Pelodiscus sinensis: one gene and its partner. The protein of the gene in region 1 interacts with the protein of each later gene in a biochemical or structural test. Links are inferred from orthologs where the notes say so. Each region holds a gene or a part of one and is shown in the gene's direction. Other genes may lie near its edges. The genes, in order: CRYAB and CRYBA1.

Region 1 (15,427 bases):
GAAGAATGAGTTTGCAATCTGCTGACTTCCCATAGCCAGCCCGAGCAGCAGCTGCAGCAGTCTGAGTAACACACACAATCCTACTGCTGACACCATTAGAGTTAGGAGACTTTCCCCTGGTGTTCTGTAGCATTGGGTTAATCAAGCAGGTGGCTACAGAAGAGAGACCTACGGCCAGATCCATCCCTGATTTAATTTCACCGAATTGACCTCTGTATCTTCAACAGTGCACAGGACCTTGAAACATTCCAAGCTCACTTCCCCCAAAGGATGTAGGATGGGTCTGGGTGGGCACAACTTCCCAGGGACCGAAACAAATAGGGCAGATGAGCACATTGGCTAGCTTGCCTAGCTCAGCAGAACCCCTAAAGCCAACCCTGGAGATGAGTGTTTATTTTTTATAATGATCCCCTGGCATATTTTAGTCTGTGCCTACTTACTGGAAGCCATCACATCCCTGACACTTCCTGCAAGGGCTACAGCACCAGATCTATTCTGGGAACCCAAAAGGGACTGGTATAATGGTTGCAAAACACACCCAGTTGCTGTGAATGTGATTCCCTGGGGTTAGTCACTCTCGGGGTTGGCACTGATGTTGGTTTCACAAGTGAACTCCCAATGAACTCTACATCATCTGGTGCCATAATATACCTTGCCCAGAACTATTTCCTGGTTCATTGCATTAGGAAAGGCTAAGGAGTTATCCAGATTCTTCACGGCAGAATAACGACGATGTGAGCAATTGGTATTCAAAGCAAATGAGAGGAGACTAGAGCCAGATTTACTATTGTTGTTTTTACATACTGTACTTACGGCCCCTTCCGCCCCCAAAACTCTCCACAAATGTTAGTGACAGTTTTAAAAATGATGCCCTGGTTTACTCCACCCACCACTGAAATGCAGCCCACTTTGGGGTGGAACACAGCAGAGCTGGGTAACAGCCCACAGCAACACAGCACAACAGTTTATGGCAGCAACGGACCCCATGCTATTTCTGGATAACAGCAGAGATGGCAGCATATACCATCTTCCTCTGAGCAGTGCTTGAGCTGGGAAGAACCTTCAGTTACGCCCACCCCCTCCCCACATGCTCTCTCTCTTCAGCTCTAGCACCATTTTTCCAGACAGTGGTCTTCCCCCAAAGCCAAGCACTGGTGCTGAGAAATAGGGATCTTGCCCAATCACATCTCTCCACAATTGAAGCACAGCCCCAGGGGGGTTTAGGGCTCAGTCTGTCCCTTGCTTTCATCCAGATTTTCTTCCATAGCTGGCGGCAGTTCTTGGTGAGTTATTTTCACATCCTTGATTCTGGCCTTCACCTCCCCCCCCGTTCGGGGAGCCTCTACACTCAAGATACCATCATGGGACAGCGTGGCTTTAACTCGCAGGGGGTCAACATCCAGTGGGAGGATGTATGTCCTGGTGAATTCCCGGGAGACGAAGCCATGGCGGTCAGCTTTCTGGGAGTGCTGAGCGGTCACCTCCAGCAGGTTGTCCACGGTGCGGACAGTGATCTCGTCGGGCAGGAAGTGACAGACATCCAGAAACACTTGGAATTTGTGCTCATTGAGGTTGATCTCCGAGATCCCTCGGTCCAGCTGCTTATTGATCCGAGGCCTGATGTAGTACCCATGATACAAGGTGGGGGCTAAAATCTCTTCAGGGGATAAACCTGAAAGAGACAGAATGAAGAACACAGGGTTGCTCAGCCTCCTGGGGTGGAAGAGAGCACCAGCGAGCCCAAAAGGGGAATATTAGTAGGACTGACAGAGTCTGGGACTTGGCAGGCAGCTGTGTGGACTCGGTGCAAACCCACAATTCCTGTGGAACAAGGGAAACCGAGTCACCAGATGATCATAATGGTCCCTTCTGACCTTAAAGTCTATGAGTCTATGAGCTTTGCTCACACATGTGTCACTGAAATACTGCATGCAATATACTGCACTGAGTGCCACCTCCATGCCACGCACCAGCTGCAGCCATCAGCTGTGCCGGAGACTGACATTCATCAGGGGGTTTAAGCTAGGAGAAGCCCATGAGAGAGAGTTGTGATGGGTGGGGTGGGTGCTGCAAGGAGAGTAGCCCACAGCCAGAGCTGGCGGTGGAAAAGGCTGAGTGCAGAGAAACTGACAGGAAAAACTAAACCCCTTTGTGTGAAAATGACACCCGGCTGCTCTTGGGGCTTTGGCCTTTTCACACTGTTGTGCTGGCACGTTGAGCCCGGTGAATGGTTCTGCTGCCTCCTGCATTCTTTCCCGTCTGGCTGCTGCTGCTCCTGCTTTGTCCAGAACCCACCAGCTCAGCTTTTCACTGGGCTGACAGTGGCTGCAAAGTCCCCACCACCCCCAGCCCTTTCAAAAGCTCCAGCTCCTGCCACACAGATTCTGCCATGGCTGTTCCCGAACAGTGGGCAACGGGAAGTTTCCCTGCTGCTAAGGTCTGCAGCAGCTGCTGCATCACCAGGCGAGGGCCAGGGGGGCTTGCTGGCTAAGCAGCCTTTCAGCTAATTAAGGAGCAACAGGACTAGTTTTTCCTAACCATTTTCAGGTGCCACTTTGCAATAAAAGAGCGAGACCCTGCTCTGGTAACTACACAGAACCCCTTTGGCCTGGGCGGTGCCACATGGGCAGGGGCAGATGACCGTTTTGCGGGGCCCCGGGCAGCATAATTCCGCAGGGCCCCCCTTTGCCACGGCGCATGCGCGGGGCTTTCTTAAGCGCGGGGCCTGGGGCGGCCGCCCCGCTCGCCCTGCCGTATATCCGCCCCTGCACATGGGTTTGCTTTTGAGGCCAACCAGAGGCCCTTCCTCCGCCCTGCAGACCAGCTCAAAGGGGAAGATTTTGTTCCTCGGGTGCTGGTGGTGCATGAATAGTGAAAGGGAAGGGAGAGGCAAGGAAAGTGGGAATGAAGCATGGAATGAAGTAGGAGAAAGATCAAGAGCATGATGGCTCCTGGCTCCTAATGAGGCTTCTCCTGATGCCTTCTGCCCCTTCCCGGGCCCTCAGTTTTCTTGATTCCTTGCCCCCCACACACACACTTGTGTGTCCCTGCAGGGTTGTTGGAATAGCTTGTATAGTGGAGGTGCTGAGAGTCAGTGAATCAAATTGTAAATCCTTTATGTAATGGAATCTACTTCAAACCAGAGGGTGCAGCAACGCCCCCAGAACCCCTAGTTCCTTCACCTTGTGTCTGCAGGAAGTGATGTCCCAGGGGATGACTCTGGACAGTCCCCTGCAGTAGGAGTGAGCAAAAGCAGCAGGAATGGGGAAGTGTAGCCAGAGGAGAAGCCCAGACTCTTTCTTACCTTCCCCGAAGTTCTGGTCATAGATCTTGCTGGGGTTGGCGAATTCGTACTCCGTGCTCATAGGGTAGGCATGGGGGAGAGTCCGCTCGGCCATAGTCTGTCGGGGAAGGGACCGTCTGTGTGCTTGCTGCCTCTCAGAGTGAGAGGGCTGCAGATCGTAACGTTTTAATCGGGTGAATTCCGTAGGGAGGTGCGTGACAAAGATACGGACCGAAATAGACACACAGGCCGAGGGACGCTCAGCCAGGAGGATGAGGGAAAGGGCCTCGCTGCATTCCTGCTGGGTACTAGCCACAGTCTGCAGACAGGGAGGGGCTGCAGCTATTGGATGGCTGAGTTTAAGGCTCCAGAAAGCAAAATGTGCTGTCCTGCTGGATTGGAAGCCAGAGGGCTAGGATTCCCTGCTCCCGGGGCCTGGGTGTGCCAGGCAGTGAAGTGGAATGGGAGAGGCTGCAGGACTGGGACTGGGAGGCATAGGCTGAAGGGGGTTCCAGGGAAGGTGAGCGAATGGAAACACTGCCTAGGCAGAGTTACATGAAGTGCAGGGCTGGATTAAGGCGGAGGCTAGCCGGGCAGCTGCCCAGGGCGCTGACCTATAGGGGGCGCCTGATAGCAGCTCTAAGGGGCGCCGCGCAGCCGCGTGGCACCTAATGGCAGTGCTATGGGGCACAGTGCACCGGGGGGGGGGGGGGGGGAACCGCGCATGTGCTGTGCACCCAGGGGTGGAGCCGCGCATGCATCGCGCACCCGCTGCCCGGGGCACAGGAATGGCTCAAGCCAGCCCGGATGAGGTGTTCACTAAGGGGAGGGCACGTACTAGGTGCTGAATGCAGGACTGGGTGCCAGCAGTTCTGAGGCTCTGATCCCATCTCTGAGCAATGATGTGTTCTGTGGCCTCGCCCCTCATTATGAGTCACTCTTCCCATCTGCAAAATGGGGTTAATAACACCAACCTGCCTACCAGGACCTCAGGGGCTTGAGCACCCCCACACCCCCTCCCCCGCGACGATTAATTAGCTCATGCTGGGAAATGCTTTACACAGGGTTGCATTTTTGTCCAGTACCCCACATACCACACACATCTAGACTGGAATCCAAACAGACCGTTGGGTACTTAGGGTGATACATTGTTGCAACGAATGTTCTAGCCTCCACCAGGGCTTGATTAGCCCAGGGGTCCGAACTGTGCTAGGCCCTGGGGCATGTTGTGGGAAGCAGCAAGACCATTCTCCCATTCACCTCTTCAGGAGTCGTTCTCTGTTTCACAAAATCCAAGGGAGCTTGATTTCCAGAGGCGCTTCATCACTCAGCAGGTGTAAAGTTCTGTGTGTATGTGCTAAATAGTGTGGACATTTCTCCCTGCCCCCGCCACGCTGCCCACTCCAAACTGAGCCACTAAATACTAATGAGCTAAAATGATCCCTGGCCTTTCTCCAATGTCAGGGTTCCAGTATCACAGGGATTGATGCAATGGAAATGCCTACGATAGACGGGCCTCAGCTATTTGGGGGCTGAATTTGGCCCAGATCCGTATTTAAAGTCCTGAATGGGTTAGTCCCCATATACGACCCTTGTGGCCTGAAACTGGAGATGCCTTGAAGGCTCCAAGTCTCCGAGGCACAGAGCAGCAGGTGCTCCAACATCACATCTTTCTTGTTTACATGATAAATAATCCAAGGAGACACTTACAACCTGGGCTGTTGCTGCCCCCTTTGCCTGCTGTCCCTCTTGCCAAGAGCCAGCCGCAGGATTGACTGCGGATTGACTGTAGCTACATCCCGGAGCTGGGAGGAAAATGGTTCCTCCTGGACCGAACAGAGGCAAGAGCACGGGATGTGGCCATTGTGTCCACTAGCTCAGAGAGAGCAGAGGTGATTCTGTTGTCATCAATGGAATTTACAACAGCTGCTGTAGGTGAGCGCAGACTTGGAGCCAGTGAAGTTCAAAGACAGGGCTGCCTGCTCCCTGTTATTATCTAGGTGGCCCAGTCATGGGCCAAGACGCCACCACGCTAGGTGCGGTACAGCCACAGAACAAAACCACTGTCCCCGCCCCAAGGAGCGGACAAGCTACCTCTCCATTCCTAAGCAAGGTGTGTTGGAAAACCCCCTCATCACCCAGCCGAGGTGACAGACGGCCACCTGTAACAGACGGACGCCCTTCCCTTGGGGTTGCCGACGGAGAGTCAAGTGTCTGTGTGGAGACGTCTGGTGACCAGCCTATCAGAGCACAAGTCTGCAGACCAGGGGAAGGGCACTGTCAGGAGGAAGTTCCCAGCAGCGCCATTGGGAAGGTGTCAGCCCAGCACATATAGCCAAACCCACTGGAAGAAGGAGAAAAGGAAGGCGCCCGAACAGAAAGGATAGAAACCAGAAATACAACACTGATGTCACACTTGGTGGCAGCTGGCAAGGCGTCGGGCGGCTGCGCCCGTCCCGTCATTGCATGTTCCTCCATTAGCCTTAGTAATCAGACTTACTCAGTGCTCAGTTTAACCCAGTGGCTTATATGAGTCACTTTTTATTTTTAGTAGCTCTATGAATACAAATGGGGCGCAGCTCAGCAGTGGGCAGGGCTGGGTAGCACACCAGCAAACTTGGATGCCAACCTGGCTGAGGTACCAGGAGAAACACATCCAGGGCTTTTGCATATCAGGCTTGAGGGGCGGCAGCTGCAGGTCCACGGGGAGGCATTGGCAGGGCTGGAGTCTCACCCTTCTTGCTCTCTTCCATCTTTTCTTCACTTGTGAATGAAACAGGATCAGAGCACAGCTCTGCACCAGAGAAAGGCTCCTGGGTCAGCCTGTGCCCAGGCAGCATTTCTCCTTTTTCCTTTTGGCCTCATTTGGGTGCTGTCTGCTTTGGAGCAATATGGCACAGAGCTGAACCACAGCTGGGTCTGGCTGTGGGAGTTTCTCTGGGTGTTGCACATTCATTCCCAACATCCATCCCAAGCAGCTGCATGCACACCACCGAGTCACTAAAGTAAAGAAGGAAGAGAGGGAACTGGAGAGCCTTTGGATGTGGCTTTGGTCCTCTCTCCACTGTGCTCTTGGCAGCTGCTGGCTAAAACTCATAAGAATCTATCTCCCAAAGGGGAGCAGGGAGATTGCAGGAGGAGTGTGTCCCGGAGCCTGTCTGTGAAGCTGGGCTATCACCATTACCAGGGCTTGACAAACCGCAGCGAAATCTACTCGCCAGCCCCGCACTGCGCATGCGCCAGACCCGCATTGTGCATGCGCGCGCTGCCGGTGAACGGGGCGACCAGCTGAAATCTACTCACCATGGGCGAGTAGATTCACTGATTTGTCGAGCCCTGACCATTACGAACAATAACATACGAACAATAACAGTGTGTTTCATTCAATAAATGTTACTTAGATTGTCAGCTCTCTGGAGCAGAAATAGATAGATAGATAGATACACAGATAGATAGATGCGTATAGAATCATAGAATCATAGAACACTAGAACTGGAAGAGACATCAAGAGGTCATCAAGTCCAGTCCCCTGCCCACATGACAGGACCAAGCACCATCTAGATCATCCCTGAGAGATATCTAGCCAACCTGCTCTTAAATATCTTCAGAGATGGAGATTCTACAACTTCCCTAGGCAACTTATTTCAGTGTTTAACCACCCTGACAGGTAGAAAGTTTTTCCTAATGTCCAACCTAAACCTCCCTTGCTGCACTTTAAGCCCATTGCTTCTTGTCCTATCCTCAGAGGCTAAGGAGAACAATTTTACTCCCTCCTTCTTGTGACACCCTTTTAGACACCTCTCTCAGTCTTCTCCTTTCCAAGCTAAACAAGCCCAATTCTTTCAGTCTTTCTTCATAGCTCATGTTCTCTAGACCTTTAATCATTCTTCTTGCTCTTGTCTGGACTGTCTCCTAGTTCTCCACATCTTTCTTGAAATGTGGTGCCTAGAACTGGACACCATATTCCAATTGAGGCCTAATCAGCGCAGAGTAGAGCGGAAGAATGACTTCTCGTGTCTTGCTCACAACAGATAGATGCATATATGAGGATAGATAGATAGATAGATAGATAGATAGATAGATAGATAGATAGATAGATAGATAGATAGATAGATAGATCACAGCTTGTATGTCTGCGAGGGTGGTGATGCATTAACAGCATTTTCAGAGCATTCTCAATATAGGTGGTTCCATTTATGTAACAGGTCAGTCTGAACACCTAGACTGTGCTCAGCTCTCACCCACAGGGGACTCGTGGTAGCACTCCGGAGATGTGCTGTCCCCACCTAAATCTTTATTGCTATCCTCCCACGTGCCTCCTCCTTGCCCCTCTGGGTGGCACCAGTTGCCACTGCTCTCATCTTCCTCCAAATCTCCGATCAAAGTGGCTTTAGCACTGAAGAAAAGACGGAAGTGCTGGACTGACACACAGCGGGCTGCGATCCTATGTTCACCCTTCGAACAGGCACAGTTCAGCAGAGGTTGAAGCTTCACACACACATTTTGCCCAGATGTCTGACCCTCTATCCTTTGGGTGCCTTGCCTGTAGGTACCCCCCTGTGTGGTGAGAGAGAGAGAAAGAAGGAAAGAAGCCAGTTAGTAAAACTGCTTAGAGGATGATCAACATTTTAGATTCAGACCTTACTTTTATTCCTGGTTTGCATAATAGAGACAACACTAAAAATTGGAAACCTGCTAACACAAGAGGGAACAGCTCTGTCCTGGTGGTGGGAGAGGCAGGTTGGGACAGACAGACCACCATGAGCTGGGATATGGGGGAGTCAAGACAGACTGATCCACACCATCTGAGAGATAGGGGGGTCAGGAAAGACAGAAACACATGAGGTGGCATGTGGGAAGAGGCAGGAGAGGTCAAAACAGACAGCCGCACCAGCTGGGAGGAAGAGGGCTGAGGAAATACAGACATGCACAAGGCATGTACAGGCAGGACAGACAGACCCACACCAGCTGTGTGGGAGGTTGGGATGGACAGAGCGATCTAACGGCGTTTTTCTGGCGGTGAGTCCTGTGACTAAAGCAGGCCCGCAGCTGCTGTTCCATAAGGCTCGCTCGGCAGAGCCATCTCTAGAGTCGTGTGTAACCTCAGGAACTAGACTCCGAACACGATGAAGACAACGGACCCTTGTCACTTTCTGTGCGAGCCAAAGATAGGAGCTGCTTTGCTCCTCCTGGCATCTGAAGCAGCAACGACATCAGCCAACCCTGATGATAAACAGTGCGTGGGGGTGTGGGGCCGGGCAGCTCTGCTTCTTGCTGACCCACTAGACTTTTTCTCCCCTCCTCCTTAGCAGCGCATTCAAATCCCCTAGATAATTGACTGGCCACTGCTGAATGGAGCAGACTGGAGCTGGGATAATAAAACTCCTGACATCACCCTTCCAGAGAGTTCAGTGGGGGCGAGGCTTGGACGGCAGCGGGTATAAAAAGCCCTGGCACACCAGTCCTTGAAGAACTCTGCTGCACATAAATTCTTACTCTTCTCCCAGATAAACACAGATGGATATCGCCATTCACCACCCCTTCAGCCGCAGACCCTTGTTTTCCTTCTTGACGCCAACACGAATCTTTGACCAGAGCTTCGGAGAGCATCTCTTAGAGTCTGAGCTGTTCCCTACCTCGGGCGCTCTCAACCCCTTCCTGCTGAGATCCCCCTTCCTAAGGACACCCAGCTGGCTAGAGACGGGATTCTCAGAGGTAATGTTTCTCTCTTCCCATACTTTGTTGTCTGCCTGTGCATGCCTCTGGCTGGGACTGGAGTCTTTTTGCCCAGCCTGCCTCCCTGGGGAACCCCTGGGAAGCTGCTCACAGGTTGTGATTAGAAAAAACCTGGGGGAGGGAGCAACAGACGGGGTCATCTTGTGTCCCTGCTCCCTGTACCAGGCTGGATTTGGTCCTACAGGCGCTGCCTGGCATTACATCAGTGTGAAACCCTTTATGTCATAACAATACTTATCATGCTTCAGTTGCATCTGTGAAGCAAGCACCTCAAAATGAATCACTAATATCAATTAATTAAGCATTACAGACCCCGGTAAGGCAGGGGCATGTTCTGGTAGCCATGGGATAGAGAGGCAGAGTGATTTGCCTGAAATTTCACAGCAGCCAGTGGCAGGGCAGAGAACAGACCGCAGAAGCTTTGAATGCCCAATTCACTTTCCTAACTATAACACCCCGCTCCCTCTTGGGGAAAGGAGTTCTGAGTCCCTGCCCCCTGCGGTAACACCTCAGTTATGCTTCCTCTTGCCTGTCCCAGTTTTCACCCAGCACAATTCCTCATTGGAAGCTCCCTTACCTCTGCCTTACTTCTGTGGAGTCACAGAGAATTAGAGACTTACAGATGTTGAGGATCTCCAGGCATCAAATCCTGAGCATCCTCTTGATGCCGGAGTCTCCCTGACCTAATTGCTAAAGAAGATGAGGCTGTCTTGCTTACCCCACTGCCTCATTCTTGGGCCCTGTTTTACTGGTCGTGTTTTAATGCTGGCGAGGAAGATGAAATCTCCATCCCCGCTATAACCATTCCAATGCTGCTCTGTGGAGTGACCAACAGGGGGCGCTAAGGTGTGAGTACTCCTCTCTCCATGGAGCCCAAAGGCAGCACCTGAGTTTCCTCGGCTTTTGGTGTGCAGGTATGGAGCTCACTTCCAAATCTGCATCCCTCTCCCCAAGGGTTTCGTGCCTGACTCGCTGGCTTATGAGTGACATCGTAACGTACAAGAGCGCATGTCATTTTACATGCCTCTTGCAGGTTAGATCTGTGAGCTGGCCGGCATTTGAGAAGCAACTGAATTGTGAGCAATCAGACTAGGAACGACATTGGAAAAGTCATAGAGTCTCCGCTGTCTGCACAAAGGGTTAATTAGTTAAATAGTAGATTATCATACCTATCTGCAAGGAACTGAGCAAACAGGTTTTTGGCAGGCTCTAGTCTTAGAAGGGCAAGCAGACTGGGGTTCTGCTCTGCAAAGTGCCTAAGTTGGCATAATGGGTTGGCTCCGTGTCCTTCCTCTTTTGATATCTATGGAGAAAAACCGCTCGGTGTACCAGGAAAAACGTGTTCGTTGCTACTGTTGGCCCAGCAAAATCTGAGATCTGAGTCACACTGGGCTCACGCTTAATGCTCAGACGCAAAGATTCTGTGCACGAAACTTTGGCTGGTGTCTATAGAGGGCCTTACCGCTGAGACTGTGGTGCTGCAGGAGCCCTGGGTTTGTACAGCACCTAGCACAATAGATCTCTGACTGAGATTGCTCCGTGCTACCACATGAGAAATAAATAGCATCCGAATCTTTGGCTCCCTTTCCCAGGAGCAACAGATGTTATCAGCAGTCTGGTCCAAAAACCTGTTCCTAAGACAATCAGCTCAGATGCCGATGCTTGTGGGGCTGATGGTGCCGCACAACAAGGGCCCAGAGTAAAACTGCATTTTAAGATAGGTGCAGATGGATCCATCCTCTGCCCTCCATCCCTGCCTTGTAAATGATACCCCTGTGCCCGGAGGATCATCTTCTTGTCAGTATCAAGCTTGAGCTAGAAAACAGTCCGCCCATGCTTCCCTGCTCCACTGCATCTCCGCTTCGCTGATTCCTTGCATATTTCTAATGAGCCAGAAATGTGAAGAATGCGTTCATCCAGGAACTGGTGCTGTAGGAAGACCGGGAAAACCTTAGTACAGAACAACTCTCCCTAGCCTCTTGGATGTAGAATAGTGATAGAAATGTAGCCCTGTTAGTCTGGTGTAGCTGAAACAAAATACAGGACTATGTAGCACTTTAAAGACTAACAAGCTGGTTTATTAGATGATGAGCTTTCGTGGGCCAGAGGAAGTTCTTCTAAGGAAGTGGGTCTGGCCCACGAAAGCTCATCATCTAATAAACCATCTTGTTAGTCTTTAAAGTGCTACATAGTCCTGTATTTTGTTTTAGCCTCTTGGGAGATCGCTGTGACTCCAGCACCCCAGAATAGGTCACTGTTGGCCCATTCGGCTCCAGGAACAGTGTCAGCGGGTGGCTGATTGCACATGGCACCACTCAGATGGTAGTAAGTGCAAGTCTGCCCCTATTTGTATTTCGTTCAGGCATCAGATCCCTCTGGGGCAAATACCTTTTGACTTGGCACCTGGTGCTTAGAGCACTAATTAGAGGGAAAGTTCTCAGAGGGATCAAACCAATGGGAGGAACCAGCTTTGCTTTCATTGCAGAGGGTGGCACCATCCCTGCTGTAGCTTGGCTACTTGGAGGGACTCCTAGGAAGTCTCTTGAGGATGAGATCTGGCTAGTTCCAGCAGCACAGTGGGCTTATCTACTGCTGATTTCCCTTCTCCGACCATGTGCTCCCTGCACCTGAGGTCAGATTCATCCAGCACTGACACAACCCAGGGGAGACGGTTCATGCCTTCCTTACTCAAGTGCTGCTGGCCGTCGGTGCAGTTCAAATTGTGCCCTTGCTTCAAAGCCCCATAAGGGGAGATTCAGTATCTCTAGGAGGTTGGGGCTGCTGCAGGGGTGGCACAGAGCTGGCAGTACCAGAGCATAACAGCTTCTTTTGCCAGGGGTAATGTGTAGTAGAGGCAGCTTCTGCCTGCCTTACATTACAACCCCTTTGTGGCAACCTAGCTGATGCAAAGGATCCTCAGAGGCTGATGGGCCTTTAGGCATCTTCCTCTGTGATCTCAGCTCAGAGAAGTGCTTGGGATTCCTCCAGAAGAAGCTAAACACAGAGGAGAATGATGCATGGAAGCTTGGTAGTTAATTTGTAAGAGAAGAGCCAGGAAAATTCTTCCCTCCACGCTGCCTGTTCCCTGACCCTTAATATCCTCTCTGCCCTTTCCCCCCTTCCATCCTCCCTGTGGTTCCCACTGTCATTTGTTAAGCATTAGTTTGCTTAGTCCTCAGACTCGGAACCTTTGTCTGAGTCTCCCTCCTCCCAGGGAATTTCACAAACCAATCACAGCAGAAGCTGGCAGAGCTCCAAGTTCGTATTGCTTGGGGCTTCATAAACACTCGTGGCCATGCAGAAATTCCTGTGAAAATGTCCTTCAGCGCAAGCTCTGAACTGCTGCACGCCAAACAAGTGTCCTTTTGTCCCTCTCGGCCTTGCAGTTGGGAGTGGGAGGCAAAAAACAAAAACAGCTGCTATGATAGCAATGCCCTAGTTGAAGCACAGTGGGGAGTTAGTAAACAACCGGCCTGATTCTTCTCCCAGCCTGGTGTAAATCGGGAACAGGCCTTGGGTGTCTAAAGTTTCCAAGAGCATTAACAGCAGCTTAAATTGTAGAGGAGAAATGCAGGGACTGTGTGACAAGCTAATGACTAACACACCTAGCAGAGTCTTAAAGGAACACCACCCTTTTAATGTCCCATTGCTAGCTGAAGAGTTTGTGCCTATTTTAGAGCTCCTCCAAAGCCCATTGAAAACATAGGTCATCTTCTACTTCATTGACTGTGGATCAGACCCAGAGGGACAAAAAACATCTAGGATTACTCTGAGGGTGCGTTTACACAGCACCCTAAACTCGAAATAAGATACCCAGTTTGCACTATGCAAACTGGGTATCTTATTTCGAACCTATTTCGAAATAGCTTATTTTGATAGTTGATGCATCTACACAGCACCAAATTTCAAAATAATGTGCTATTTCGAGCCATCCCTTATCCCTCATGTAACGAAATTTACCGAGATGGTGAAATAGTGTGCCCGTTATTTCAAAAAATATTTTGAAATAACAGGTGGCTTGTGTAGATAACAGGGTAGCTATTCGGTATCCTGAAGTAGCCGTGCAGTGTACACGTACCCTGAAAGACATAAGGGGCAAATATTTTTTTTCCTCTTCATTTTCTTGATGTGGTGGCTGAGACATAATTGCCGGTTGAACCAACTTCTGTTTGTTGCTCAGCTCCCAGGTGTAGAGAGCTCAGTGTAATTAGGTTCAGCATTCTGGATGGAGGAATCTTATTCAAAAACTAAATTTTAGGAAGGGAAACTCAAACAACTGAGGAAGCAGAGAGATTCTGAGTCCCAAGTGAGGAAACCAAAGTGCTGAGAGTCAGCAAGGAGGCTATTTAAGCATCTCCTAACAGTCTCAGAAGATATGTACATCCTGCAGCAAAAAAAGAAGTAAGTAATCAGAAAGGCAAAAGAGAAAACAGCTTATCTAAATGACAGGGACTAAGAGGTTATTCAAGTCAAACAGGTACACATCAGAAATGGAAAACCTGCCTGGGGCATCCAATAGAATGAGATACTTACTCCACCTGGTAAAGGAAATAAGGCAAAAGATTAGCAGGGTGTGACTCAGTGTTTCATACCAGGAAAAAATACTGTTTAATGTATTTATCTATGATCTAGAAAAGAGCAGGTGAATCCTTCATGGCAAAATTTGCCAATGACACCTTCGTTAGATCAGTCAAGGCTCTGACGATGCAGGAGAAAATGTGAACTGAACTATACGAAAATACACTCTATCACTGACAAGATCCCTGTAAATATCCAGAAAGGGAGCAGAAAGTAATAATAATTCCAAATAATTCCGCAAAAGGAATTACAAACAAACAATATCAACTAATAACAATTGGTCAAATGCAAAGTTGTTGATCAATTCCTAAAAGTCCAAGTCAACAGTGTGCCCCTTTCACACTCCACAAGAAAGTATTTATCCTCTGCTAGTCAAGACAAGACATAGGTGCTCAGATACTACAGTGATGGACAACAATAAAGAAACCTAGGCAGACAAAGACAACCTGGCATGGACTGAAACTAATTAGGCCAGTGGTTCTCAAACTTTTTGGCTTCACACCCCCTTTTTGATTTTTGAGAAGCCTTACACCCCCTCTCCCCGCCGCAAATAGCAGCAAAACTTGTTGGGGGGGGGGGGGGAAGGAACTGACCAGGGCCAAAAAACAAAAATAGCAGCAAAACTTGGGGGGGCTGGATCGCCTCTCGCCCCCCCTCCCCACAGGGGCACGCCCCCCAGTTTGGGAACCCATGAATTAGACAACTCCTGCTGCCTTTAAACAGTCCTTCGGGGCAGGGCATGTTGGACAATGGCCTCCTACTCTAGGGTTTGGTCCTTCATCATTAAAATTGATAGGCACTTTTCTCTTGACCTGCCTGGGTGCCGGGTGGCACCTCCAGCTGGCATTGGAGCTGCTCTTTTCTAACCAGCCCCTTGCTTTGCAGATGCGACTGGAGAAGGACAAGTTTTCCGTAAATGTCGACGTGAAACATTTCTCTCCTGAGGAGCTGAAAGTCAAGGTGTTGGGGGATGTGATCGAGGTCCATGGGAAACACGAGGAGCGCCAGGTATATCCACTCTGGCAAAGTCTGAATTGCCCCGTTTCTGTCACGCAAGGATCCCACAAGATGGCAAAAGTGCCTTGGTGCTTGAGTCTCTGAAATAACTTCTGTTCACTTTAATTAATCATTTACCCTAACGAAGATGCTGAGTGCAGCCCCCTGACCTATCACAGATGGGCAACATCAAGGCAGAGGCTATTGCTAGGGGAAAACAATCATCAAATGAGCATTTCTGAACCTCTCTCTTGTTGGGAAAGGGGCCAAGAGGGCAAGGAGAAGAAAGCACCAGTTTGGAGATTAATTAATGAATATCAAATCAGGTAATAAGGCACAGAATAGTTAATAATTAAACCAAATGATGTTGCTATTCAGAATGTTACTCTGACAAAGCCCTATAACTGTAGCTTGTACACTCAAAGGCAGTGTCTAGACTGGCCAGTTTTTCCAGAAAATCAGCCGCTTTTCCGGAAAAACTTGCCAGTTGTCTACACTGGCTGCTTGAATTTCTGCAAAAGCACTGACTTCCTACTGTAAGAAAGGAAGTCTGCTCCTGTTCAGGCAAAAGTCCCTTTTGCGCAAAAGGGCCAGTGTAGACAGCTCAGATTTGTTTTCCGCAAAAAAGCCCCGATCGCGAAAATGGCGATCGGGGCTTTTTTGCGGAAAAGCGCGTCTAGATTGGCACAGACGCTTTTCCGCAAAAAGTGCTTTTGCGGACAAGCGTCCGTGCCAATCTAGACGCTCTCTTCCGAAAATGCTTTTAACGGAAAACTTTTCCGTTAAAAGCATTTCCGGAAAATCATGCCAGTCTAGACGTAGCCAAAGGGTCAA
Region 2 (15,427 bases), on another chromosome or scaffold:
GCTAGGGGCCCGCCTGGCGGGCTGGGCGCGGAACTCACATGCCATGGGCAGCCTGGACCCCTAGATACTGCCCCGACGGTTCCGTGGTGGGGCCTGGGCACGTGCCGCCTGCAGTAGTGGCCTGAGGTGGAGCTGGCATCAGAGGCAGGGGGAGATCCCAGGGCCGGCCTAGGCGCAGCTGCGTTGGTCTCTGTGGAGGCGGTTACGCTGGGGACGGGCTCTGAGACCGGGGAAGCCGATTCCTGCCTGGGTCCTGCCGAAAGGTTCTGGTGACGTGGCCCAGAGCGGCGTGGAGCCCAGCCCCGCAGGCCCAGCGCCCAGTCCCACCCGCCCGCCTGCACCCCTAGTGGGATTTCTTCCCCCGTCCCGTCCGTTCCAGGCCAGCGCTGTTCGTTACGATCTACCTGGGGCTGGAGCCCCTGTCACGTTACTGGATCTTGAGGGGAGCAGCCAGATCACTGCTGCACCCATAGGTGGGGGTGTTGGCCCCAGAAAATGGTATAAAAGGGGGCCATGTGGGGTGCTGAATAGAAGCTTATTATCTGATAATCCTATGTAAGATATTTATGTGGTTGTATAACGTCTGTGTGTGTAGTTAGGAATCTGTAGTCTGTGTGGATACTGAATTCTTCTCTGCATGTGGTTGAGCATTGGGCAGAGCCCGGCCTGTGGACATGCTAATCAGCGAGGCCCTGTGGGACAATGGCACTCGATGGGCCAAGGACACACCTAAAGCATGAGGGCGGACACCTAAGAGCGGCCAGCAGAGAGAGGCTGAGGACCAGGTGACCGGCTGAGACCAGAAGAGGCCAGGAAGGAGGTATAAAGAGGCCATGTGGTCGATGCCATTTTGTTCTCAGCTCAGCACTTCATCCCAGAGGCAGCAGTGCAGGGATCGAAGAGCCCGGAAGACCTGTGAACCCATCCTGATCGTAGGATGTGCAACAAGAACTTTTAAACCAGCAGCTGCAACATCTCTGCTAGAGCCTGCATCGAGGACTGGGAGATTCGGTGCATGTAACGTACTATCCTTTAACAACCTCACTCTCAGGCTTTTCTTTCTTGTGGTAATAAACCTTTAGATGTTAGATGCTAAAGGATTGGCCCAGTGTGATTTGTGGGTAAGGTCCAGAGGGTAAATTGACCAGGGATCTGTGGCTGGTTTCTTGGAACCAGACAGAACTTGTTCGGGGTAGGTGGGATTGGGTGTTAGGGCCCCCCACCTGTGTATGAGGCCCGGGGCCATCTGGGGCACGGATATTGCTGGGGTGTCGGAGGGGTTTTGCTCGTGAGGCTTCAGGCAGGCTGCTGGAGCGCTCTGTGGGACTGGTGTGTGGCCGGTTTGGAAAGGTCACCAGTCTGGGGGCTGTAAGGAGCCCCGGATTTGAGCAATTCGCCCTGAGCGGACGCCCTCAACTGTGCCCAGACACGGCCCGGTCTGTCACAGCCCCCCTCGTGGCTCAGCCCGCCTTGCTCTAGGTGCAGGACAAACAGAGCACCAGCCCCTTCCCCAAGCGAAAAGAGCCGGACGTCCGGCGATGGATGGGTGGGGCACTCGGGATGTCACATATCGGTTAACTGAATAGTCGAGTAACCTCACGAATTCTTATCGGTTAGTCGACTATTCTATAGTCCCTGGGGATGGGGCCGGCAGCCAGTGCGCTCCAGCCTCACTTCCGAGGAGCCCCCGGCCACTCCACGCTGGTTTCAAAACCAGCTCCCCCCCGCCTCCCCCGCAGACCAGCTGCCTGGCACCTGGCGCTGTCCCCTCTGATACAGAGGCAGCAGTGCAGGGCGGCAGCAGCCCCTGTCCAGGGGTGGTGTCTGAGCTCCTGGACCAGGCATGAGCCAGAACTGAGCCGCAGCAGAGGTAGGTCCCAGCCCCGTCGCAAGCCAGGACTGAGCCAGGTTGCCGACCGGCCTGCTAAAAGATGTCCTTGGGGTGGGGGAGAAATGTCGTGTAGAGCATTAACCTGTGCGCTTTGCGTGCGGTTAATCGACTGCACTCTCGCATCCCTGGGGGGGACACGAGGAGACACCAGGACCGGAGGGAGACACTCCGCGTCTGCTCCCCATTAACGGCCTCTGACGTCGGCTACCAAGTCCGCGGGCTCCAGCCGCCGTCGGAGCCCAAGATCCGCTTTGCAGCGAGCGTTTCGTTTTCATTTCACCCCAGCCCTGGGGCTCTGCCGAAGGGTCTCTGCCACCCACCGCACTGCAGCGAACCCCCCTGCTCCCAGCTGAGCGACCAGCATCCCCTCCCAGCCCTGCCCCATGGGATGAGCAGGGGGTTCCTTCTCCTCGCCCCCCACTTCTCAGGGCTGGCTGGCTTCTGGCGCGACAACGGTCTGCAGCCAGAAAGGCCAGAGGGCGCCCGCCACGGGCTGGCCCAGCTCGCTTCCTGGGATTAGCTCTCCCTCCAGTGGCCTGACACTGTACGGCAGCTCCAGGAAGGCCCCGGTCTCCCCCCTCCTTCGCCGTTGCTTTCCCCCAGCGCCACGGAGCCACGGGATACGGGCCCAGGTGGCATTCATGTACCCGGCTGCATCTCAGGGCAGCCGTCTGCCATGGACAGGCCTGGAGCCACAGCGTGGTTAGCCAGGTCCTGGGGCTGCTCGCAGGGGGAGCCCTGCTGGCGGTGGGGTGGGCGCCGGAGGGGGACAGCGCCTGCCCTTGCTACTCACCATGAGGGGGCTCCACTCCCCTGGGCTGGCAGAGTGAGGGGCTGCTCTCCGGGAGCATGGGTGGGGGCAGAGTCCAGCCTGCGCAGACTTCAGGGCCCAGGCTCCGTCCTGCCACCCGAGGAGATGGGCTCGGAGCCCGCACAAATCTGCCGGCCCGCGGGGTTCCGGCTCCCAATCGTCGCGGAGACAACCTCGGCGCAGCAAGGGGCAAGTGTCCCCACCACACGGCACCGGCAAACCGCGGAGCGCTCTGGCTCCGGGCACCTGCTTCCGAGCAGGGCCGAGGAGGTCCAAGCCACGCGGCCAAGGAAGGCGAGGAAGGAGGCCGGTCGCGCTCCGTCCAGACCTGCCTGGGGAAGAGATTTCAGACCAGAGGCAGCAAAAAGCAACCCACGATCCAGTGGCTCGAAGCAGAAACTCGGACTGGAACCCACTGGAGCTGAGGCCCTGCTTTCTAAGCAGCAGGGGAATTAGCTAGGGGACGTCTCCCCGAGACTGGGGGGTGCTCTGCCCCGTGGCCCCTCCCACCCAGACGGAGGGCATGCGGAAGGCAGCGCGGCAGCCCCACTGGGGGAGGTGGCAGGGGTCCCTGGGCAAGGCTCTTTGGCCGGTGGAGGAGCGTCACGGTCCCTTGGGCCTCACCACGCCGCGGGAGCGTCTGTCCGGCGTGCGGGGAGACGGGCGTGGGTTCTTGGGGAGCGCCAGCGCGGAAAGGCAGGCTGGCTCCTGCCCCCCTGGAAAAATGCCCTTTGCAAAGGCCTTTCTGGGGCTCCTTGTGCAGCCAGGCAGAGCCCTGAGCCGGGACATACAGGAGCCGCCCGGCTCCCCTGGGACTAAGCCCCCATCGTGCCACACCACTGGGCCGGCTGGTGTTCTGGGGGCCCCGGCTCCCCCCACCTCTCTGCTCTGGGTAAGCAGGAAAGGGGGCCACGTGCCACAGCGCCCTGCGCAGCCCAGCCATGGGCTCAACGGGGGCCTAGTCCCCTGCGTGGGCCTGTGGCCCAAGTGCCCCTCACAGCCTAGTCCTGTGTCACCAGGAACAACAGCCCTCCCTGGCTCCTTCCAGCCGGCTCCGTCGCTTCTCCCCGTGCTGGGGCGCTCCCCAGCCTGGCGCGGGACAATCGCACGGAGCTTGGCACCTTCCTCCCCAGAGCGACTGCCAGCGGCTGTGCCCTGCCCCTCCCACACCCTCCCCTGTGGCCTCAGTGCTGGCTGGACTTGGGGGGCCTCCCTGCCGACCCCAACAGGCTGCGTCCTAAGGGTCATTCCTGCCCTTCGCTGTGGGTCGGCAGCACCCGGCGCTCTAGGGGCTCCGCTGCAGCAGGGGAGACGCTGCCAGGGAAGCCGGATGGGCGCCCCCGGGGGGGTGCTGAGGAGATGGGAGCATTGAAGGGCAGACACCCAGCAAGGACATTTAGGGGCCGGGGGCAGACCCTCCGGGGGAGGTTTCCTCGTTTACCACCCAGCTGTAGGCTCCCCTCTCCCCGGGACCGTCCCTGCTGGGTTTGCCCCTTGGGGTCTGCAGGGGACACTGCGGAGAGCCCAGCCCGGCCTGCCTCGACCCAGGGCAGGAAGCCCGGCGAGGACAATAGGCAGGCCCAGGTGGAGCTGACAGGGCGCTTTGTTCGCCCCCTCAGGGCCAGACAAAAGGGGCAGTCAGACGTCACAGCGGCCCATTGTGCGGCGGGGAGCGAAGCGCTGAGCCAGCAACCCGCGCCTGACCTCGCTCGGCTGCTGAGGGCGGAGGCCCCCAGCACACACAGGCTTGGCCTGCCACGGGGCAGGGCCGCCAGGAGCCCAACCAGGCCGGCCTGGGAAGGAAGGAGCCGGCCGGGCTCGGTCAGGGGGCATCCTGGGCCCAAACCTGCGGGCACCAGGCCACTTGGGATACGGCCGGGGCAGGGATGGGAGAGAGAAGGATGCAGTTACTATGGTTACCACGGGCAGGCCGGATGGCGGCTCCCGCCGTGCAGTGGGAGGCCACCAGGCGAGGCCGGCGCCAGGGGCCGGCAGAACCTCTAGCCGTTCCTCTGCAGGGCTCTGAGGGCTGGCAGGGGCGTCTTTAACAGCTGTGCCTGGGCTCCCCCCACAGCGCAAGGTCCCCGCCTCAGGGAGCAGCCAGCCCCCCCCGAGCTGGTCTGCAAACCAGCAGGCCCCCTCCCGGCCACGCTGAGCCTGGGCCCGGCGGGTATGTGGCTCAGGCGCTCCTCCCCAGAGGAGATGCAGAGCTCGGCCCAGCTGGGAAGCTGCCCCTTCCGCCCCGGAAGCTGGCCCACTACAAGGTCATTCTGGGCGCCCTCCCCCCACGCTGATGGTCAAGCTGAGCAGAGCTGGCGTGACCCTTTCCTCCGCGCTGACGCAACCCCTCCCCGGGCAGCATGGCCGGTGCGTGCAGGGCTCCAGGGAGCCGCTCTGGTCCCAACCCAGCCTGCAGAGCCCCCCGTTTGCAGCCGAGGGCCATGGAGAGCAGGGCCGGATGTCCGCACCGCGCCAGGCCTGCCCCCACTGCTACACGCCTGCAGCGGGGAACTCCATTATCTCCGTCGCGGTCCAGCAGCTCCCCATTTCCGAGCCCTGCCCAAGCTGCTGTCAGACAGCTAACCACCGGGGAGCCCCGGCTAATTCCCTCCGAAATCAAACCCCAGGCAGCGCTCCACGCGGGGGCGCCTAGACAGGAAGGACAGCCCAGGAGGCAGGGTGCTTGGGAGACCAGGTTTCGGTTCCTGGCTCTGCTTCTGGTGACTGAGTGGCCTTGGGCCCGTCACTTAGCCCCCGTGGGCTTCAGCTCCCCATCTGGTCCATGGGGGTAACTCGCAGGGGTAGTCGGAGGGGTAAGTCCACTGAAGAGGGTGAGGTTCTCACAGAGCAGCAATGGGGGCTGTGTGAGTATTAATATAGATGGAGAGGGGTCCTCCCTCGGGGTCACCCAGCCCACACCCGCGAGCTGCTCCACCCTTTCCATGCATGTGGGGTAACGGGCCCTCTGCAGCAGGCCGGCTGCCATACCCCCAGCACCCCCTTGGGAAGGCCTGTGTCCCGTTCGCGAGGCTCCTCCGGAATGGGAAAGGAAATGCCCAGAGGCTTTCTGAGCCCCCGGGGGGTGTCCCTGCTGGGGGGGGACAGAGCCCCCGGGGTTGTCCCTGCTGGAGGGAGGGGCAGAGCCCCCTGGGGGGTGTCCCTGCTAGGAGGGGGGCAGAGCCCCCGGGGGGGTATCCCTGATGGGGGGGACAGAGCCCCCAGGGGGTGTCCCTGCTGGGGGGGGGCAGAGCCCCCTGCTTGTCTCATGACAGAGGGATGCTGTTGGGCTGGAAAGAACCAGAGCCCCAAGCTGTTGAGTCATCCATGACCCAGATTAGCCGTGCAAACAGCCACACGCGGGGCGGGGGGGGGGGGGGTGTTTTTTGTTGGTGGCTCAGACTAGGGCGCTGAGCTGCTGGAATCTCCGGGGCTCAGCAGGAACCAGGGCCAGAGAAAGCAGAGTGCTGACTGCTCTGCCAGCCGGGCCCTATATAAAGGGAGGCTCCGGAGCAGTCGGGCGTTACATGGAGGAAGCAGCAGCGCAGGCCGAGCTAGGTGAGTGCGGGGGCTGGATTCTCGACTTTTCCCGTCGCTTTGTCCGTTCCCTCTTCTCAGCCAGACAGACGCGGCCTCCCTCCGGCCGAGCGCCAGGGGCTGCAATAAAAGTCCCCAGGGTTAGCCCTTGGCACAGGCCCATTCCCCAACGGGCCTTTGAACCCGCGACCCAGACACCGCACAGGCGATTCAGGAGGTGGCAGGGTGGTGCCCCTGCCCTGGGATCGGCCTCCTCCCGCGCCCCCTCCCATCACCTCAGAAACGGTTCCTCCCTTCGCCAGTCTGCAGCGGGCGAAGCTGCCAGGTCTCCGGCCGGTGTGTGGACAGAGCAGGGAATTCTGGCGGCTGCAGCAGAACACGGCACCGTCGGCAGGTGATGTCCTGTTACACCTGGGCCGCACTGCCTGCCGGCGAGCTCCGGCTTGTGGTGTTGTCTGTGGTGTGGTAACCCTCCCGCGCCCCCGCTGGACTGGGCCTCTTGCACTTGGTGCCGTGCAAACACCTAGGAAAACATGTGCCCTACCTCACAGATCTTCACCCACCCAGCCACGGAATACACCCGCTCACACATATGCCCCCAGCCACGGAATACACCCGCTCACACACATGCCCCCAGCCACGGAATACACCCGCTCACACACACCTCGCCACAGAATATACCCAGTCGCACATAAACAAACAGCCATGGAAGATACATGCTCACATTGACACGCCCTGCCACGGAATACACCCACTCACACGCACACACAGAGCCACAACATATACCTGCTCATGCACACAGAGTCACCCACTCACAGCCCCCCAGACACGGAATACATCCACTCAGACGTGGAACACACGCACTCACCCACCCAGACACAGAATACACCTTCCTGCTCACACACCTGCTCGTACACACACACAAACGATAGGCTTTTCTCCTTCAGGCTCAGCAGGCAAATAGTGAGAGAACGTGTTTCCGTTTCTGCACGGGGGGGGGCTCCACTCCAGCCAGGACAGGGTGTTTGGGGGGGAGCAGACAGAAGCTCCCAACGAAATCTGGACTGTGCGAGAAGGCCGTGGGGAGTGCAGCTGGGCCCTGCCGCTCATTGGGGGGAGGGGGAGGTGAGTGTTGTCCCTGATGGCGCTGCTACCCAGGGGGATAACCCCTAGTCCCCTTGGGGTGCTGATCCCTTGTCGCCGTGCCCGGCAGGGGACGTAACCTGCAGGGGGCGGGCCGGGGGCCGGGGGCCGGGACTGAGCTCACCCCCACAAGCCCCGAATGCTGCCCGTAGGGAAGGGCGTTCAGCGGCAGTGCCTCTGGCTGGACGTGGCTTTCTCCTCAGACTCACTCAGGCTAGAGGGGGCCGGAGGCCAGGCCAGCCCCTCCCGGGCCCCCGAGAGCCTGCAAAGAGTCAGCACGTACAGCGGGGTCTCCCCTGCCCCGACGCCCGTCCTCACGGGTGGGGCAAGGGGGCTCGCAGGCCAGGGGCAGCGCGAGGGGCAGGAAGGAGCAAAGAGCCGGCGGCGGGCCCCCAAGGCCGGGCCAGGCTGACGTAGCCCAGGCCGGCGGGTCCTGCCTTAAAGCAAATGGGGGCAGGAGCTCAGCAGCACACGGCCGGAGGGCAGCTCCCTCCTCCAGCGCCCTGCTCGGAACAGGGCTGGCTGCTCTCGCTCGCACTCCTGTGCCCGCTGCCAGCCCGGCTGGGGTGTGAGTGAGCACTGGGTGGGGCTGGGGGTGTGAGTGCGCACTGGGTGGGGCTGGGGGTGTGAGTGCGCACTGGGTGGGGCTGGGGTGTGAGTGCGCACTGGGTGGGGCTGGGGTGTGAGTGTGCACTGGGTGGGGCTGGGGTGTGAGTGCGCACTGGGTGGGGCTGGGGGTGTGAGTGAGCACTGGGTGGGGCTGGGCTGTGAGTGCGCACTGGGTGGGGCTGGGGTGTGAGTGCGCACTGGGTGGGGCTGGGCTGTGAGTGCGCACTGGGTGGGGCTGGGGGTGTGAGTGAGCACTGGGTGGGGCTGGGGTGTGAGTGCGCACTGGGTGGGGCTGGGCTGTGAGTGCGCACTGGGTGGGGCTGGGGGTGTGAGTGTGCACTGGGTGGGGCTGGGGTGTGAGTGAGCACTGGGTGGGGCTGGGGTGTGAGTGCGCACTGGGTGGGGCTGGGGTGTGAGTGCGCACTGGGTGGGGCTGGGGCTGTGAGTGTGCACTTCTGTGCTGTGTGTGAGTGCGCACCTCTGTCCTCTGTGTCTGTGTGTGTGAGTGCACGCCTCCGTCCGCATGTGAGTGTGAGTGCGCACTTCTGTCTGCATGTGTGTGAGTGCATGCCTCTGCGCTGTTTATGTGTCTGTGTGTGTGCTCAACTCTGCACTGTGTGTGTGTGTGTGTGTGTGCGCGCACCTCTGCACTGTGTCTATGTGCGTGCGCACTTCTGCGCTTCGTGTGTGTCTGTGTGTGAGTGCACAACTCTGCGCTCTGTGTGTGTGTGTGTGTGTGTGTGCGCACCTCTGCACTGTGTCTGTGTGCGTGCGCACTTCTGCGCTTCGTGTGTGTCTGTGTGTGAGTGCACACCTCTGTCTGCACGTGTGTGTGTGAGTGCGCACCTCTGTGCTGTGTATGTGTCTATGTGAGTGTGCACCTCTGTGCTCTGTTTGTGTCTGAGTGTGCACATCTGTGCTGTGTGTGCGAGCGCACACCTCTGTACTGTGTATGTGTGGGGAGGTGAGCGTGCACCTCTGTGCTCTGTGTGTGTGAGTGTGCACCTATGCACTGTGTGTGTGGGTGTGAGCGCACCTGCACTGTACCCAGCCCCGCCGGGGAGGTGTCTGGGCGTGCTCATCTTCCCAGTATTCCAAGCCAGGCCCGGGTATTTCACTGGGATTCCCGCCCAACATGCTCAGCTGTGGCCCGGCCCTGCCCTGCGCTGCCTCTGTGGGGAGTGTGTGGGGCCAACAGAAAATGGGGGGAGTCAGCAGCAAATGGGGTCAGTGACGGATGGGGCCAGCAGCGAATGGGGGGGCTCCGTGATGGGTGGGGCCAGCAGCAAATGGGGGGGGGGGTCTGTGATGGGCGGGGCCAGCAGCGAATGGGGTAGGGGGGGCTCTGTGACGGGTTGGGCCAGCAGCGAATGGGGTAGGGGGGCTCCATGAAGGGTGGGGCCAGCAGCGAATGGGGGGGGGCTCCGTGATGGGCGGGGCCAGCAGCGAATGGGGGGGGCTCCGTGATGGGCGGGGCCAGCAGCGAATGGGGGGGGCTCCGTGATGGGCGGGGCCAGCAGCGAATGGGGTAGGGGGGCTCCATGACGGGTTGGGCCAGCAGCGAATGGGGGGGGCTCCGTGACGGGTTGGGCCAGCAGCGAATGGGGGGGGGCTCCGTGATGGGTGGGGCCAGCAGCGAATGGGGTAGGGGGGCTCCGTGACGGGTTGGGCCAGCAGCGAATGGGGGGGGGCTCCGTGACGGGTTGGGCCAGCAGCGAATGGGGGGGGCTCAGTGACGGGTTGGGCCAGCAGCACGCGTGGGCAGAACAGCTCTCAGAGCAGCCAGCGCCCCTGGGCTGCGAGTTGTACTTTCCCCTCCTCCTTTTCCAGGCACCGTCCCCACAGCCAGGATGACTCAGACCAACCCTCTGCCCGGCCCCACGGGCCCCTGGAAGGTAGGTCCCAGCCGCGCCGTGTGCTGGGTTGGGTACTACACAGGGAGCGGGCGCTGGGCACTGCACGTCTCCTGCCCCCCAGTTAGACGTGACCCACAGGGAGGGGCCTGGCCCTTGGTGCCCCACCCGCCCTCCTGCCCCCGGCGCAGTGCTGACTGCCCCCTGTGTCTGCCCTGCCCTGCGGTACAAGCAGCCGGGGGCAGGAGCGCCACGCCCAGGTGAGCAGCGGGCACGCACTGCGGGTTCCTGCCGGCCCGGCTGCAGCGCCCGCGGGCGGAGGGCAGCGCAGGGCTGCGGGGGCTGCCCCAAGGGCCGTGCGCGCCTGGGGACGGAGGTGGAAAGAGCTGGGCAGTGGGGCGGGAAGGAAGAAGCGAGGCCGGGGTGACCCCCCACACCTGCGGGCCACAGCGCCCTGGTGGGCAGCCCAGCGCCTGGCCGGAGTCCCAGGCGCGGTGGGTCCACGCTGGCGGCTTGCACCAGGCCCTGCCACGGACGGTCTGTGCAGTGGGCACCAGTTCCCCGCCCCGTTCCCACGCGCCGCCCTCCGGGGCGATTCCCCCCCAGCTCACCGCCTACGACCAAGAGAACTTCCAGGGGAAGAAGATGGAGTTCACCTCGGCCTGCTCCAACACCATGGAGCGCGGCTTCGACACCGTCCGCTCCCTCAAGGTGGACTGTGGGGCGTGAGTACCCGGGGGGCCTTGCTGGGACCGCACAGGGGGGCTGGGCTAAAACACGGGAGGGATGCCCCATGCAGCGCACGGCTGGGCGAGCGGGGGCCGGGGCAGAGCGCGGCTGCACCCACAGGTCCGTAGATCCACGGCTGGCTTCTTTCCGGAGGTGGCTGGCAGGGGCAGGGAGGAACGGGCGGCCGAGTCTGCGCCGCTCGGCCTGTCTCTTTGCTGGGAGCCCTCCAGGCACAGACGGCCGATCCACCGCCCCCCGGCATCTGGAGCAAACCTAGGCCAGAGCTCCCGGCCTCCAAGCCAGGCCTGGACTGCGCGGGCGGGTCACCCCCTGGACAGGCCCGTTTCTTGCCCTGAGAGGGCTCTGGAGCTGTAGCCAGGCTGGCACCCTGCAGTCACCCACGCCAGGCCAGCAGAGTGGGGCAGTGCGGCTCAGCTGCAGCCGCTCCCCGGCTTCTTGAGCTAATCTAGAAAGCTGCAGACAGAGACCCCCCCAAGCCTCCGCGCCAGCCAGCCACCCCCCCTAAGCCTCCGCGCCAGCCAGCACCCCCCCCGGGCTCCATACCAGCCAGCCACCCCCCCTAAGCCTCCGCGCCAGCCAGCCACCCCCCCTAAGCCTCCGCGCCAGCCAGCACCCCCCCCCGGGCTCCATACCAGCCAGCCACCCCCCCTAAGCCTCCGCGCCAGCCAGCACCCCCCCCCGGGCTCCATACCAGCCAGCCACCCCCCCTAAGCCTCCGCGCCAGCCAGCACCCCCCCCGGGCTCCATACCAGCCAGCCACCCCCCCCAAGCCTCCGCGCCAGCCAGCACCTCCCCCCGGGCTCCATACCAGCCAGCCACACCTCCCCCAAGCCTCCGCGCCAGCCAGCACCCCCCCCCCGGGCTCCATACCAGCCAGCCACCCCCCCCAAGCCTCCGCGCCAGCCAGCACCTCCCCCCGGGCTCCATACCAGCCAGCCACACCTCCCCCAAGCCTCCGCGCCAGCCAGCACCCCCCCCCGGGCTCCATACCAGCCAGCCACACCTCCCCCAAGCCTCCGCGCCAGCCAGCACCCCCCCCAGGGCTCCATACCAGCCAGCCACACCTCCCCCAAGCCTCCGCGCCAGCCAGCACCCCCCCCTGGGCTCCATACCAGCCAGCCACACCTCCCCCAAGCCTCCGCGCCAGCCAGCACCCCCTCCCCGGGCTCCATACCAGCCAGCCACACCTCCCCCAAGCCTCCGCGCCAGCCAGCACCTCCCCCCGGGCTCCATACCAGCCAGCCACCCCCCCCAAGCCTCCGCGCCAGCCAGCACCTCCCCCCGGGCTCCATACCAGCCAGCCACACCTCCCCCAAGCCTCCGCGCCAGCCAGCACCCCCTCCCCGGGCTCCATACCAGCCAGCCACCCCCCCCAAGCCTCCGCGCCAGCCAGCACCTCCCCCCGGGCTCCATACCAGCCAGCCACACCTCCCCCAAGCCTCCGCGCCAGCCAGCACCCCCCCCCCGGGCTCCATACCAGCCAGCCACCCCCCCCAAGCCTCCGCGCCAGCCAGCACCTCCCCCCGGGCTCCATACCAGCCAGCCACACCTCCCCCAAGCCTCCGCGCCAGCCAGCACCCCCCCCCGGGCTCCATACCAGCCAGCCACACCTCCCCCAAGCCTCCGCGCCAGCCAGCACCCCCCCCAGGGCTCCATACCAGCCAGCCACACCTCCCCCAAGCCTCCGCGCCAGCCAGCACCCCCCCCTGGGCTCCATACCAGCCAGCCACACCTCCCCCAAGCCTCCGCGCCAGCCAGCACCCCCTCCCCGGGCTCCATACCAGCCAGCCACACCTCCCCCAAGCCTCCGCGCCAGCCAGCACCTCCCCCCGGGCTCCATACCAGCCAGCCACCCCCCCCAAGCCTCCGCGCCAGCCAGCACCTCCCCCCGGGCTCCATACCAGCCAGCCACACCTCCCCCAAGCCTCCGCGCCAGCCAGCACCCCCTCCCCGGGCTCCATACCAGCCAGCCACACCTCCCCCAAGCCTCCGCGCCAGCCAGCACCCCCCAGGGCTCCATGCCAGCCCAGGCTCCCCCAGGGTTTTGCACCAGCCAGTGACCCCCCCGGGCTCCATGCCAGACAGCAGGCCGAACGCAGGGACGCAGCGGGGGCTCTGCCCGTGCAGGCTCAGGCTCCGGCGCCCAGGGCAGCGATTCCTGCAGATCGGCGCGGGGAGAAGCAGCCTCCCCACTGGCCACCGGGCTGGCTCCCAGGCGCGCTGCAGCCCCTCACGGGCAGCATGGGACGGGCCCCAGGGGGGCTGCTGGGGCCCCTGCTCGCTGGGCTGGGGCCGGGGGAGCCAGGCTCTGCCTCGGGATGCTGGAGCAAAGCCTGGGAGCCGCCGGCCCCGTGTCCATGCGGCAAAGCGCAGCCTGTGCCGGTAACGCGCCGGGCCGGGCCCCTGCCAGCCTAGCGCCAGCTCGGCCCCACCCCGCCTCCAGCGCATAGGGCAGTGGCTCGTGGGCCAGGGCCCAGCCTGACACTGGGCGCAGCCTTCGGGCATCCGGGCCAGCCACGCTGCAGGGCGCTGGGGCCGCGCCAGGCCCGGTCTCGGCGCACGGGGAGACGGGGCCCCATTGCCCCACGCGCGGGCTGCTCCCCGGCCAGCGCCCTGAGCGGCGTGCTGCTGTTGCAGCTGGATCGGCTACGAGCACACCAGCTTCTGCGGGCAGCAGTTTATCCTGGAGCGGGGCGAATACCCGCGGTGGGACGCCTGGAGCGGAAGCAACGCCTACCACACCGAGCGCCTGATGGCCTTCCGCCCCATCTGCTGCGCGGTGAGCGCCGGGCCCCCGCTGCTCCCCTCCCCTCGCGTCCCCCCGTGCAGGCACCCGGGGCCGCTGCCTTCCTGCTACGCGCAGCACGCCTCGGCCAGGGGGCGGGCAGGGGAGGGCTGGCCCTGGTTAGGGTGAACTAGCTTGAAACTTTCACCCTCTGCCTGGCGCCAGCCAGCCGGCCAGGCCTCTGCGCTTCCCTGCCACGGATGGGGCCAGGCCCCTGCGCTTCCCTGCCACGGATGGGGCCACTCCCCTGGGCTTCCCTGCCACGGATGGGGCCAGGCCCCTGCGCTTCCCTGCCACAGATGGGGCCAGGCCCCTGCGCTTCCCTGCCACGGATGGGGCCAGGCCCCAGCGCTTCCCTGCCACGGATGGGGCCAGGCCCCTGGGCTTCCCTGCCACGGATGGGGCCAGGCCCCTGCGCTTCCCTGCCACGGATGGGGCCACTCCCCTGGGCTTCCCTGCCACGGATGGGGCCACTCCCCTGGGCTTCCCTGCCACGGATGGGGCCAGGCCCCAGCGCTTCCCTGCCACGGATGGGGCCAGGCCCCTGCGCTTCCCTGCCACGGATGGGGCCACTCCCCTGGGCTTCCCTGCCACGGATGGGGCCAGGCCCCAGCGCTTCCCTGCCAGGGATGGGGCCAGGCCCCAGCGCTTCCCTGCCACGGATGGGGCCAGGCCCCTGTGTTCCCTGCCAGGGATGGGGCCAGGAGCCTGGTGCGACAGTGCAGGGAGGTGAGAGGTTGGAAGGACAGTGGGCGAGCGGGGAGCCGCTGCAGTCGCTCCAGTTCAAACTGGCCAGGTGCCCCGGGGTGAAGTGGCAGGGCCGAAAGGGGCCGCAGAGGTGACCACGCCCAACTTTTTTGGCATCTTGCCTACAAGCCTCCCCCGGCGTGTGCTGCGCGTGGCGGGCAGGGGACACAGAGCGCGCAGCTTGTGACCCACGCGGAGCCCCTGCCCGTTGTGGGGTGCAGCGGATGGCTCCCTGCCCTGAGCTGCGTTCCAGCCTCTTTGCTTCACCCCTGTTGCCCCCCAAGCCCTGGCAGCCCCTCCCGCCAGGGCAGAACCCGGTGAGGCCCCCTGGCCCCGCATGTGGGGCGCATGCAGCGCAGCCTGTAAGCTTTGGGTAAAACCAGGAGGCTCCATTGAACGCTTCCCCAGCTCGTCCCCCCGGCTGCTTTGGGAAGCATGGAGCCGAGGGGTTTCGCGGAGGGCGCTTCACTGCACCGGCTCCGGCCGCCGGGAGGCTCCCACAGAGACAGGGGACCGGGGGGCAGGCGAGGTCAGACCACAGGGCGCGTCCCGGGAGCAAGGAGCCCACCCCAGGCCCCGTCCCCCCCCATCTGCACTTCCCTCCTCATGCCTCCCTGTCGCTGTGGCCCAGAACCACAAGGAGTCGAAGATGACGGTCTTCGAGAGGGAGAACTTCCTGGGACGCCAGTGGGAAATCGCGGACGACTACCCCTCCCTGCAGGCCATGGGCTGGGCCAACAACGAAGTGGGCTCCATGAAGGTGCAGTGCGGCGCGTAAGTGGGGACGGCTGCACGCGGGGGGCAGGGCGAAGATTCCCAGTCCCGGCAGAAGCGCCGCCTGGGCCAGGCCGGAGCCGAGCCCTGCCCGCCGGGGCCGCCCAGCTGCCGGAGCGGCTTGCTCCCATTTTACGCACGGGTGCTCCTCTCTTCCTGGCGGCAGGGCCCAGGCCCTCCCTGCTGCTCCGATTTGGAACTGGAGCGGGATCCCTACGGACACGGGCCTGGTTCAGTGTAAGCTTGAGCGGCCGCCCAGGTGACAGGCAGCTGGCTGTGGGCACTCTGCTAGTGTTTCTACGGGTGGTGCACATCGGCACGTGCCTAGGTGCACAGACCATTTATTCCGCATGAGTGGAACAATTAGAGGGAACCGCGGACACGGGGTACAACGCAGGCCTACCTGGCCCTTCGCACTACTCAGGCACATCAGGCCCTCAGCAGGCGGGAACAGGCTCAGATTTTCATCTGCCCCGGGGGTAGGATCCCAGCTGCAGTTTGCGCCTGGCTCCCCCACCGGCTCCTGCAGA

The links.
Region 2: the proteins of CRYAB (region 1) and CRYBA1 form a complex in vitro, tested with the Homo sapiens proteins (2 studies listed by BioGRID and IntAct, with this or other methods). The link is inferred for Pelodiscus sinensis from reciprocal best matches to the Homo sapiens genes CRYAB and CRYBA1.

Annotation. Positions count from the first base shown.
Region 1 is NC_134736.1:6,798,317-6,813,743, reverse strand, and holds the start of CRYAB (alpha-crystallin B chain), read left to right. Parts: upstream 1-8,606; 5' UTR 8,607-8,800; coding exon 8,801-8,998; intron 8,999-14,482; coding exon 14,483-14,605; intron 14,606-15,427. Other genes in the region: HSPB2 (heat shock protein beta-2), read right to left, coding at 1,221-1,672, 3,305-3,398. UniProt on the Homo sapiens protein: May contribute to the transparency and refractive index of the lens. Has chaperone-like activity, preventing aggregation of various proteins under a wide range of stress conditions.
Region 2 is NC_134731.1:2,055,820-2,071,246, forward strand, and holds the start of CRYBA1 (beta-crystallin A3), read left to right. Parts: upstream 1-6,102; 5' UTR 6,103-6,226; coding exon 6,227-6,257; intron 6,258-9,818; coding exon 9,819-9,883; intron 9,884-10,447; coding exon 10,448-10,566; intron 10,567-13,228; coding exon 13,229-13,370; intron 13,371-14,754; coding exon 14,755-14,897; intron 14,898-15,427. UniProt on the Homo sapiens protein: Crystallins are the dominant structural components of the vertebrate eye lens.